Linked DNA regions of Tamandua tetradactyla. The protein of the gene in region 1 binds, or shares a complex with, the protein of each later gene. Links are inferred from orthologs where the notes say so. Each region holds a gene or a part of one and is shown on either strand. Other genes may lie near its edges.

The links. Proteins that work in one complex are often made in the same cells at the same time.
Region 2: CDHR2 (region 1) and CDHR5 share a complex: the UniProt entries of both Homo sapiens proteins name them as parts of the IMAC/intermicrovillar adhesion complex. The link is inferred for Tamandua tetradactyla from reciprocal best matches to the Homo sapiens genes CDHR2 and CDHR5.
Region 3: CDHR2 (region 1) and MYO7B share a complex: the UniProt entries of both Homo sapiens proteins name them as parts of the IMAC/intermicrovillar adhesion complex. The link is inferred for Tamandua tetradactyla from reciprocal best matches to the Homo sapiens genes CDHR2 and MYO7B.

What each region holds. Positions count from the first base shown.
Region 1 is NC_135346.1:58,010,659-58,014,400, forward strand, and holds the start of CDHR2 (cadherin-related family member 2), read left to right. Parts: upstream 1-1,158; 5' UTR 1,159-1,423; coding exon 1,424-1,525; exon of another isoform or gene 1,526-1,579; intron 1,580-1,617; exon of another isoform or gene 1,618-2,152; intron 2,153-3,742. UniProt on the Homo sapiens protein: Intermicrovillar adhesion molecule that forms, via its extracellular domain, calcium-dependent heterophilic complexes with CDHR5 on adjacent microvilli. Thereby, controls the packing of microvilli at the apical membrane of epithelial cells.
Region 2 is NC_135335.1:485,811-489,552, forward strand, and holds the start of CDHR5 (cadherin-related family member 5), read right to left. Parts: upstream 2,292-3,742; coding exon 2,219-2,291; intron 1,983-2,218; coding exon 1,807-1,982; intron 1,724-1,806; coding exon 1,673-1,723; intron 1,263-1,672; coding exon 1,170-1,262; intron 1,070-1,169; coding exon 968-1,069; intron 834-967; coding exon 723-833; intron 642-722; coding exon 471-641; intron 261-470; coding exon 170-260; intron 90-169; coding exon 1-89. UniProt on the Homo sapiens protein: Intermicrovillar adhesion molecule that forms, via its extracellular domain, calcium-dependent heterophilic complexes with CDHR2 on adjacent microvilli. Thereby, controls the packing of microvilli at the apical membrane of epithelial cells.
Region 3 is NC_135329.1:85,601,225-85,604,966, forward strand, and holds the start of MYO7B (unconventional myosin-VIIb), read right to left. Parts: upstream 2,515-3,742; 5' UTR 2,394-2,514; intron 1-2,393. UniProt on the Homo sapiens protein: Myosins are actin-based motor molecules with ATPase activity. Their highly divergent tails are presumed to bind to membranous compartments, which would be moved relative to actin filaments.

The sequences.
Region 1 (3,742 bases):
GAGTTTTCAAAGTACATTTTTAACAAGTAGTTACAGAACAGATTCCAAAGTTTGTTATGGGTTACCATTCCACTAGTTCACATTTTTGCCTTCTGGCTGCTCCAAAACACTGGAGGCTAGAAGAAATATCGATATAGTGATTCAGCAGTCATGCTCATTTGTTAGACCCTATTTTCTCTGTTATAACGCCTCCTCTTTTGATCCTTCTCCCCATCTATAGGGATTTGGGGGCACTTCCTGTTCTTTGTGCGGATGAGACCCACCATAGGTTCTTATTGGCCCAGCCTTGCATCGGGTGCCCAAACCTGGCCAATCACAGTGACCAAAGGGATGCTGTGCTCTGACTGGCTGGACATGGGTCACATGACCGCCAGAGGTGGGGTGGAGAAAGGAGGGGTGGGGAGGCCCCCCAGAGGAAAACTTGGGTGCTGTTATCAGGGGGAGTGAGAATTGGTGCTGGCAGGCAGAGCATTAGGTGCTCCCTGCTAGGGAGTAGGGAAAACCTTCTGGGGGAGGGGGAGGCCTCCAGCCAGGGCAGCAATGAGGGGGGCCCTGGGAAGGTGAGGAGAGGCTGGGTAAGGGGTGGGGTTCCTCCGCCTCCCCTTTCCACGTGGCGGGTCCCTGGAGCTGGCGCAGCCATTTGTCCATCAGGGATAATTATAAGGGTACCTGCCTCTCCCTGGTGATAAGGGGAGTCAGTGAGAGCGTGATGTAAAGCACACCAAAGGTGCTCAATAAATGCAGACTCCCACTGCTGGAACACACAAGGACATCTCCCCCCAGGGCTTCCCTGGAGCTTGGGGGGTGGGAGGATGAAGTCAAAGTGTATTTGCAGCTCTTGGTCTGTTTTGGGACACCTGGGGCGCACTGAGCACCCGTCCTGGGCTGACTACCCCCAGTCCACCCGCACAGGTAGTGGTGGGGGAACCAGCACCTCAGGATCCAAACAGGAGGGTTTCAAAGGGAGAGGGGCAGTAACCTCTCTAAGCCATCCAGCCAGAAAGGGGCAGAAGGCTCGGGCTTCTGAGCTTGTCCCTAGGGCCCCCTCTGTCCTTTGTCAACCCAGGGGTCCTTGGGCCACTGTGGCAGGAGTAGAAGGAATTGGGGGCCTGGTACCTCAGGGAGGGTAGATACCCTGAGAAGACCTCAAGTCAAAGAGGGTGGATAATGACAGCTGTCGCAGCATTCACTGAGCCAGGCGTTAACATGCTTGATTGCTTCCCCATGCATCACGTGTCACTGAGGACTCTTGTGATTGAGAGGGGACTACGGGACCTGACTGTCACACTCGGACCATCCTCCTCCCAACTTCCTGCCTGACCCGGGGTTGGGCCTCAGTCCCGCCTCTAGCCCCCTCCTCAATTGGGTCGGGTCTCCTGAGGCATCAGCCCCACTCCAGGAGGTGCGGTCCCCGGCAGGGTTAATGATTGCCCAGGGAGGCGGGTATAGTGCCAAAGTCTGCCAGCTGAGCACCTGTGCCTGCCAGTGCCCACCTGCCGCCTCTGCGGCCCCTTCCGGGGCACAGGTAGGATCTCCGCAGCTCGACTGGGGCACGGTGGGGTCTCCTGGTCAGGGGGAGGTAGGCTGGGGCCAGTGGGGACCAACGTGAGCTTTGGGTGTCTTTCAGTGTCCCCTGGCAGCTGGGTGGGAGCCCCGGCCAGAGGGAGCCATTGCCCACCTAGGGTCTCAGGTTCTGCAAGGTGGGGTTAATGATACCTCCTTCCCAGGGTTCTGATGGCGCCCTTTCCTTCCAACTGCTTGGGTCACTGGACTCATGGAGGGTCCCGGATGAAGGGAAGTGGGGTTACCCCAAGGTCCCTTCTGGAGGAAGCTCCAGGCCAGGACTAAACTCTGGAATCACACCCACTGGGCTCAGGCCCCTTCCTGGGCCTGGCGCATCGCCTCACTATGGCGTCTGAGACAGAGACTCAGCTGACAGCCGGGGCCAGGCCTAGGCCACCTCCCTGAAGCAGGAACTTGAGGGATAGGGGCACCAAGTACAAAGCAGAGACTCAATCGACATTAAGGTCCAGCTGATTGAAACAGGCCGTGGCCGGTATGTGGACTTTGTGGTCCTTGTCATCGTCCCCTTCTCAGCAAGGGAAACTGAGGCACAGAGAGGAGAAAGGGCTTGCCTGGGGTTGCACGGCAGGTAAGTGAAAAGCTGGACTCTGAACCCAGGGCCATTTGACTCTTTGTGTGCTGGATGCAGCAGCCTGGGGGATGGGCACTGTAGGGGACCACAGTGGCAGGAAACCCAGCTCCCTCCCGGGTCCCCCATCCCTGCCACAGGCCACACTGGCTGGGTTTGTGCCTGGCTTGCCCAGAGACTCCTGGCTTTGGAGACAGGCTGGATTGAACACCTCTGTCCCTTGCTCTTAGGCTACCGTTTCTGACTTTCTTTGTGCCCCAGTTTCCTCACTGGAAACCCAGAAATATAATTCCTACCTGGGCAACAGTTTTGGGAAATCAGTGAGAAAATGGAAGTGAAAGTGTGCAAGGAGGAGGCACATCCCTCTCTGCCCTCCCGGAGGCTCTGGGCAGGCCTGGTGGGGGGGGGGGGGGGGGCGTCTCATTCCCAGAGATTCCAGATTGTAATAGGAGGTCTTAGAGCCACACAGTATTTAGACTGTGGTTGACATCACCTCTCAGCTGAGACTGAGGCACCAGCACTTCCCTGGGCAGGCAGGGCTGCACCTTGGGCCCCGTGGTCAGGGTGTGTCTGCCCCTTCCAAGCCAGATACGGTTCCCAGGAGTCTGAATGCCTCAGGCAGACAGGGTGGGCAACGGGTGGGCGCCCAGAAGCCACCCTGATTTCACCCCTGTGTTCATTTCGGAAGCTACTCTTTGAAAGCGGGGAGTGGGGTGGGAATTGGGGATAGGAAACTGTCATCTCTAGAACGTAGATTGTCCCCATGTTTTAGAGGGGCAGACCGAGAGGCAGAGTGGTGGGCAGTGACTGGGGGCTGGAATTGATGTGCCTGTCACTTCAGTCCCAGACCTTGGCCTGAGGAGGAGAAAGGGGTCCCTCAGAGCTCCCTGGGGGGTGGCAGAGACCTGGGAAAGGGGCTTCCATGGCTTTGTCAAGACCTTTCCCCAGGACCAGTCCATGGTGAATTCCATTCACTGATTTTTCGTTCCTAGTTACTCTGTCCTTAAGCCTGCTGGGGAAGGGAGGTGGGGATGAACAAGGCAGGTCTAGCACTGCGCCTTGCTGGGTTGAACCTTACAGGATGGAAAGAATTTGCACACATGTGGGAGGCAAGGGAAGGCGTTCTGGGCAGAGGAACGGAACACGCAAATGCAAGGAGGGAGGAAAGTGTGGGGTGTGGATGAGCACAGGAGCTTTAGACGCCACTGGGCCACAGTGGGGAAAGGAGAGAAGCTTGGGAAAGAGAGGCCAGGGTCCGTGAGACTCTTGCTGGCCAGGCTGAGAGCAGTAGTGTGTCCTGTTGCCAGTGGGAGCTATGGGAAGGTTTGAGCTTTGGGGATGACTCGGTCCAATGAGGTTAGAAGGCTCATTGGGCTAGTTCGTCCTTATACCTCCCCCAGCCCACGTGGGCGCTGTACGTTTTTTCTCAAGTGACTGAACACAAGGGATGACGCTTCTGGACTGTAGAACTTTGGCCTCATTATGATTAAATGAGCATGTTTGGGAAAAGGCTCTCTGACAAAGAGGAGGCAAGATAGCCTGGAATCCAGGTGGTATGGGAAAGAGGCAGGAATGCCGCAAGAGAAAACC
Region 2 (3,742 bases), on another chromosome or scaffold:
TAGGTGAAAGGTCATGGGTCTGGGGGCGCCCCTGGCCATGGTGAGGTTCCCCGACGTCCTGTTGATGGTGAATATCCCATCGCTGTTTTCTGGGGGGTGGGGGGTGCGGGCTCAGCCGGACCCTGGCAGGTAGGCCGGGGTGCCCTCTGCCGAGGTGGGGGCCACTCACCGTCCACAATGCTGTAGACGATGGGCTGGTTGAGGCCCCGGTCCCCGTCCACCGCGTAGATGGGTCCCGGACGCAGGGTGAGAGGGTCGGGCTGCAGGGGCCACAGAGCGATGGTGGGGGCTGAGCTGGTGACCCCCCCATGCCGCTCCCCAACCCCCTGCCACTGCCTGGCTGGGGAGACGCCTCACGAAGGGCCCTGTATATTTGTTTTAAAATGACCACCATGGAGATGGTCGCAGCCCTGACCCTGGCCCGCTGACGGGAGCCACTGTGCACACCCGGCCAGCGCTGCCCGCTGTACCAGCTGCTGCCCTGTGGGCACGGCGCCCTGGTACTGGGCCTGCAGGCAGACGTGGGCATCCGCATAGACGCAGGGCAGGAACCAGGGGGGCCTCAGGTCGGCAGGCAGGACCTTCAGGGTCAGCGTGGCCATAGCGGTGTGGCCGGGCAGGGCGCCCTCCTCCGGGGTGTCCTGTAACAGCGTCCCCGCAGCTCAGGCCGGGTGCCTGGGGCTGGGGCTCAGTGGGGGCACGGGAGGTGGGGGGCTGCTCACCCGCACCAGCAGCCGGAACGTCATGGCCGGCCACCTGTCGAAGTCCAGTGGCTGGTCCAGCCTCAGGGCGGGGCGGTTGGCACCCACCAGGGAGAAGAAGTGACTGGCACCCTGCGGGGGGGGGGGGGCGCAGCCTGAGACTCTGGGAGGAGGCAGAGCAGCTTGTGGGGGAGTCGGTGGGGGTGGGGGGGAGTCAAGAGGTGGGGGGGAGTGGGGGGGCCGGAGGGGGGGTGGGCAGCACGGACCAGGGTCTCTTCCTGGAGGGTGTAGAACAAGATGTCGTCTTTGTCAGGGTCCTTGGCCTCCAGGTCTGTCTCCGGGATGACAATGGAGCCCACTTTCGCGTCCTGGCGAGAAAGGGCCGCGTTCCCGCGCCATGCGCGCACGACCCGGCCGCCCGCCCTGCGCCCCGCCCGGCCCCGCGCCCTCTACCCCCGCCCCGCTCACCTCGCTGACGTTCGCGCTCGTGTTGGGGAAGGGGAAGACCGGCGCGTTGTCGTTGACGTCCAGCACCGACACGAACACGCGCAGCTGCGTCACCTGCGGGCGGGCGCGGTGTGGGCAGGTGCCCGGGAGCGGGCCGTGGGGGGCGCAGCTCGCGGGGGACCTGGGGAGGCGGGAGGGCGGAGCCGGGCTCCTACCTCCGCTCAACTTCCTACCTTTGAAATGATCCCAAGAAAAGGTTAAAAAATAACTAAAGCAGGGTCAGGGGCTGCGGGGGGCCTCGTCAAAGCCCCCGAGGAGGGGGGGCGCAGGTCCAGGAAGAGGGTGACGAGCAGAGGGGCCCGCGGAGGCGGGGGGGCGGGGCCGGGCGTCGGGACAGGCGGGTCCTGAAGGCCATGCGGGGGCAGTGGGCTCCAGGGAGGTCGGGGCGGGGGATGGGGGGCGGGGCGGGGCTGGGGGCCGCTCCCCACCGCGGGGCGACCCCAGCCCAGCCCGGCGGCACTTACCACGGCGCCCCCCCTCTTGCACTCCAGGTGCGCCTGCAGCAGCGGCTGCGTCTGCGGGCCAGAGGGCGGGGGTCACCCGCGGGCACTCCATGGAGGCCCCCCAGGGGCTCGCCCTGCCCTGCCTGGACCGGCACCTCGTAATCCAGGGTCACGGTGAGAAACAGCCGGTCCTCCATGATCTGAAATGCGCCCGGGGTGGAAGAGGGCCCCAGGGTCACCTGTTGGTCCGGGGGGACGGAGATGTCCACCAGGGGCTCCGTCCAATTCCTGTTCTCCTCGATTTCGAAGAACGTCTGATTCACCGAGCAGGCTGCGCGATGGGAGTGCAGGGTGGGTGCTCTGGCTGGGTGCCCGGACCCCCGCGCCCTGCCGCCGCAGACCCCGGACCCCGCGCCTCCCCGCCCCCGACCCCGGAACCCCGCGCCCCGCCGCCCGGGACGCCCGACCCCCACGCGCCGCTACCTCGGACCCTGGAACCCCGCGCCTCGCACCCCGCGCCCGGCCTCTTCGGACCCCCGCTCCGGGCCACCCGGGACCCCGCCGTACCCTGGGCCCCGACGCCAGGGGCTCCGCCCAGCAGCCCCGCCAGCAGCGGCAGCAGCAGGACCCCAGCGCCCATGGCGCGCCCCGCAGGAGGGTCCCGGTGGTGCCTGGCGCCAACCCTGGGCGGCCTGAGCTGGCGCAGCCTCGGCGACCTTCGCCCCTGCCAGGCGCCGCCCCGGTTTATGGCCCTTTACTTCCAGTCTCCGCCAAGGCGGTTCCGCCAGCCAGTTCCAGTGGGGCCTCGTGCCGGGCAGGGGGGGCGGGGGCCTCCGGGGAGAAGACAGTGCACAGACGCCGGGACACAGAGTGGGGGAAAGGGGATCCACACCTGCTCGCAGGAGCTGGGCCTGGGCGGGGACGGGGGCGGGGGCGGGGGCTCGGCAGGGGCTGGGGCTGGAGCAGGAGCAGGGGCTGGGGCTGGGGCAGGGGCTGGGGCAGGGGCTGGGGCAGGGGCAGGGGCTCGGGCAGGGGCTGGGGCAGGGGCAGGAGCTGGGCCTGGGCTGGGACTGGGGCAGGGGCAGGAGCTGGGCCTGGGCTGGGGCAGGGGCAGGGGCTGGGGCTGGGGCAGGGGCTGGGGCTGGGGCAGGGGCGGGGGCTGGGGCTGGGGCAGGAGCAAGGGCAGCAGCCATGCCTTTGTCCTCTGAGTTTGGTGTGTCCCCTGTCCCCAGTCCCCAGCCTGCCCTCTACTTGTCTCTAGTCTCCTAAGGTCTCTCTCAAAGTTCCTGAGGTCGCAGTGGCAGTCCAGCTCCCCAGGTTGAGGGGGAAAGGCTCTGAGTTCCTACACCTCCAGTGCCAGAAACAACTCAGCTGCTTCTAGGTGGGCTCTGCAGGGGACAGAGCGATGGGACAGGACAGCTGAGCTCCTGGGGAGGGACCCTGGGTCTCCCCCCCACCTGCTGCCGTCCCTCCTTGGCCATCAAATCCCCCCTCCCCAAGTCCTGAGGTCAGCAGCTGTGGAGAGACCATGAGGTGAAACAGGGAGGGGAGTTGTCAAGAAGAGGGGAGAGATGGAGCTCACGCCCCCAGGCCTCGTACCAGCTGCTCCCTAACCCAGCAGCACTCGGTTTTCTCTTTGCTGATGGGGTCACTGCCTGCTCCTGGCCCTGACGCTGCTTTGTGACCCTGTCCCCAGGAGGCATCATGGCCGGCCCGGCGCCCAGGCTGGGAGGCATCAGCAGGCCGGCGCGGGGACCACCAGCCGGTCCCCTCGGCCCCACAGCCTCTCAGCCCCCAGCGAGCCCCTCACTCCTTCCACTCCTGCTCACATGGCCCCTGAGAGGGGGCGTCCGCAGCCTCCTACCCCTGCACTGCCTAGTGGACGGCTGGGGGTGCGTAGGGGACTCCCGGTAGGGGAGCTCCCGGAGGGGAGGGAGGTGGCGCTGATGCTGGCGAGAAGGAAGAAGGAACCGGGAAGAAGAGGGGTCAGCACTGCCTAGGGCTGGGGCTGCCCCGGGGACCCAGGCGCCGCGCGGGGTGGGCTCCGGAGCCAGGGTTCGAATTCTTCCTTTATTGATTGGTCAGCACAGG
Region 3 (3,742 bases), on another chromosome or scaffold:
GCCTTCCATCCAACACCAGAACTCAATTTCGCCAAGTTCTCTGACCCTTCATAACAAGGATCATCTTTCCTCCAGTTCCCAATAACACATGTATCATTTCCATCAAAGTCCTCATTGGAAGTTACTTCAATATCCATTTTTCTAACAACAGTGTCTTCAAAACAGTCTAGGCCTTTTCTATCAAGTGCCTCACAATTCTTCCAGCCTCTACCCATTATCCAATTCCAAAGACATTTCCACATTGTTAGTTATTTGTTATAGCAGAACTTCAGTTTAACCAGCTCCAAGGACTATTTTAGTTTCCTAGCTGCCAAAGCAAATAGTGTATAATGGGTTGGCTTAACAACAGGATGATATTGGCTCATGGTTACAGAGCTTTGCTTTCTTCCTGGTCAGTATGTTCTGGGTGGCTGGCAATATCTAGGGTTCCTTGGCTTTTCTGTCACATGACAATGCATATGGAGGCGTCTTCTCCTTTCTCTTCTGTGTTCTTTTGACTTTCAGCTCCTGGCTACTCCCTGTGACTTCTCTTTTTCATGTCCAATTACCAATGGTTATAAGAACTTCAGCCTTATAGGATTAAGGTCCACCCTTATTCATTTGGGACACAGCTTAACCATTTACAAATGGGTTCACCCCCATGGGACCAGGACTTGTGACCTGAACATGCCTTTTGAGGGGACATGATTCAATCCCAACACCATTAATTTGCTGAGTGCCCATTCCCTCCCAAACTCTGGACAGGTAGGTGCAGGGGACAGAGAAATATCTGAACAGTCCAGCCCAACTCTTCAAGGAGCTTCTAGTCCAGTGGCCACTGTGTACCCATGGGCAAGTCATTCTATCCTCCTTCATGTCAATGTCCTCTTTTGTAAAATGTACAAGAGCTCCTGCTTTTCCTCCTCAAGTGACTTGTTATGCGGATTGAGAGAATGTGGAAGCAAGAGCCATCTTAAGACATGGAAAACCTGAAGTTATGCAAATTCAGTGGTGTACCTGGGAAATGTTTGCACCTGCTGTGTCTCCTCTCTGGCAAGGCTGCTACCCCCTGCGGGAGCCCATGAGGCTGCAGCAGTGCCCAAGACAGTTAGAGTCTCTGCCCACACAGACACACGGAGGTCACCACCAGCACAGACACTGGGGGTCTCCATCACAAATACACAGGGGAGGGGAGGTCCCTGCCAGCACAGACATTAGTTGTAGGGAGCTCCCCCTGCACACACACAAGTCCTGACCACACAGTCACACAGGGGTGAGGGTCCCCTCCAGCATAGATATTGGGGGTCTCCACCCCAAACACACATGGAGATGGGGAGCTCCTCCTACACACACACACACACACACGGGGGACCCTGCCCTCACAGTCACATGGTGGTGGGAGTGTCTGCCAGCACAGACATTGGGGGTCTCTGCCCCCAAACAGACATGTAGGGGTGGGGTCTCTGCCTGCACATACCCGCGAGGCTGCCTTCCTGCTCAGACACAGACAGCAAGTCCTGAGACGTGGCCTCTGAGAATTTTACAGCAGGGAACCCCTGGATCTGAATGATGGAGGGGGCTTCCTGAGGGAGAACAGAGTGGTTCATCCCAAAGAGCCCTGGGGAGGTGTCATCCGAGCAGAGAGAGCCATATGCTCGGCTATGGTCATGCCGAAGAAAGATTTTGGGTTTTCTTGAACCTGAAATCCTAAACTGGGTTCAAGTGGTTTTATAGGTTAGGACAAAATTCAAGCCCAGAGATAGAAGTGGAGCCTGAGAAGAGGAGTGATCCTGGAGATACACCTACTGATTTAGGATCCGGCTCCAGTCTTGCCAGCTTTGACTTCAGGGGAACAACCCTGCCCTTGTGACTCCAATTTCCTCCTCTGCCAAATAGGAATAGGGACGCCCTTCTGCTGACATCTCAGAGATGACAGGCATGTCAGGTGAGCTTTGAAGTTGAACCCTGGCCCTGTTTCTGGTCCACCATCCCCCACTTCCTCGAGCACAAAATAGGAATCAAGACCCCACAGCCTGGGACCGCTCAGGCAGCTGGCATGGGCACAGTGCCCAGTTTCTTGGTAGCCAGCCTATACTAGGCACCCTGGGATCCAGCGGTAAGAACTCCGTCTATGAGCAGAGGCTGCCAGGCCAGGCGCCCACATCCCTCTGCCTGGGAGTCTGCCCCCCACAGTGTCCAGCCAGGCCAGCTTCTCCTCCCTTCTCCTCAGCCCTCAGGGGCCTTGCCATCCCGGGGAAATGAGCCCTGGGCTCCTGACTTTCTCCCATCTTGTTTCAGGGTGAGTCCCTTAGCTCTTCCTCAGGCCTATGATTCCAGAGCAGGGACTCCTAACCATTTCCCGGAGCTGGCAGAATGTGGGTGCCTAGTGGCCCACAGGCATGGTGCTCTCTTACCTTGTCAGGACAGAGGTCTCGCTGACTCCCTGCTCCTCCACCGTTAGCACTCTAAGAGGGCAGGGGAGAGTGGCCTGGTGGCAGCCTCAGGCTTCAGGTGTGTCAGGGAGTGAGGGAGGGGGATGGGCCCGAAGAGGAAATGGCCAAGCCCTCTGGGTACACGTAATTTATTACAGGACTTTGTCCTCGGTCTCCAGGCACATCCCCTCCCTCCCACCTGCTTCCTGCAGCCCCAGCCCTCAGAGCCCCATGTGTCTGATCTTTAACCCAGGGCCCTACAGCAGGGAGGGGCTGTTCCCTTCCCTGGAGGCCTGGGGATCGCCCTCTGTGCCTCTGCTTCTGGCCACCAGCCAGATCCCATGGTGACAATCAGCTAATCCTGTTGGGGAGGCCTCAGCATCTTCCCAGGTGTCTGGGAGGCCCCAAGAAGCCGACATTCTAATTGGGGGTACATGGACAGGAAGTGCCTGGGGCAGGCAGCAGGCCTTATATAAGAGAGAGTTAAAAGCCATCAGCAGGGGTCCCTGGGAGCAGAGATGGGTGGGCTTGGGCTAGAACTTGAAAGGAGGGGGATTTGAGCTCTGAGGCAAATACAGACCGCTCTTAAAAGGCAAGGCATCATGGTGGTATGGCCCCATGTGACCTGAGACAGTCCCTACAAGTACATGGGAAGGGTGACTGGCAACCCAGCTTTGAAGACAGACGGAAAATGAGTGCATCAGAGATACCTGCTCAGCCCGCAGCCTTTTCCTTGAGTGAAGAGGGTCTTTGGTGGTCCATCCAGTTGGCCCAACTTGAGCCAGTCAGATTCTGCCTGTGTCTCAGGTCTTGGAAAGAACATAGGCGCTGCAGGGAGATGGCACAGGACAAGCCATCATCCTTTAGGTCTAGTTCAGGCCAAGGCAGGGCCAGCCACCTGGAATTTGGGCATGTAGGGGGGAACTGGTGGGAGAGAGAAAGAGAAGCTGGCGGCAGAGGGTTTGGCCAGGAGGACCCAGAGGAGGCAGGACTATGGTTGCCCCACAGCTGCCTGTACTTCTTGTGGTTGGACTGCGTGGAGACCCCAGGCACCTGATACCAAATGTTCCTTTGTTGAACCGGCTCGAAGGAGTTTCTGTTTACCCTTTTTCAGCCCATGACAAAGTTACGGAAGCAACTTGGGAGACGCTTAACGAAGGACCATTTGGAGGAAACTGTGTGTGCTGAGCCTTTCAGCCACCTAAAATCTCATCCAGTTTCTGGGCCAACCCTTGCTTTTGCGAGTTTCATACTATACGTGGCTTCTTTTTTAAAAACTTCAGGGTTGGCACTGTCTGCTGTGGCAATCCCCCACTCTGGGACTCCTTCTG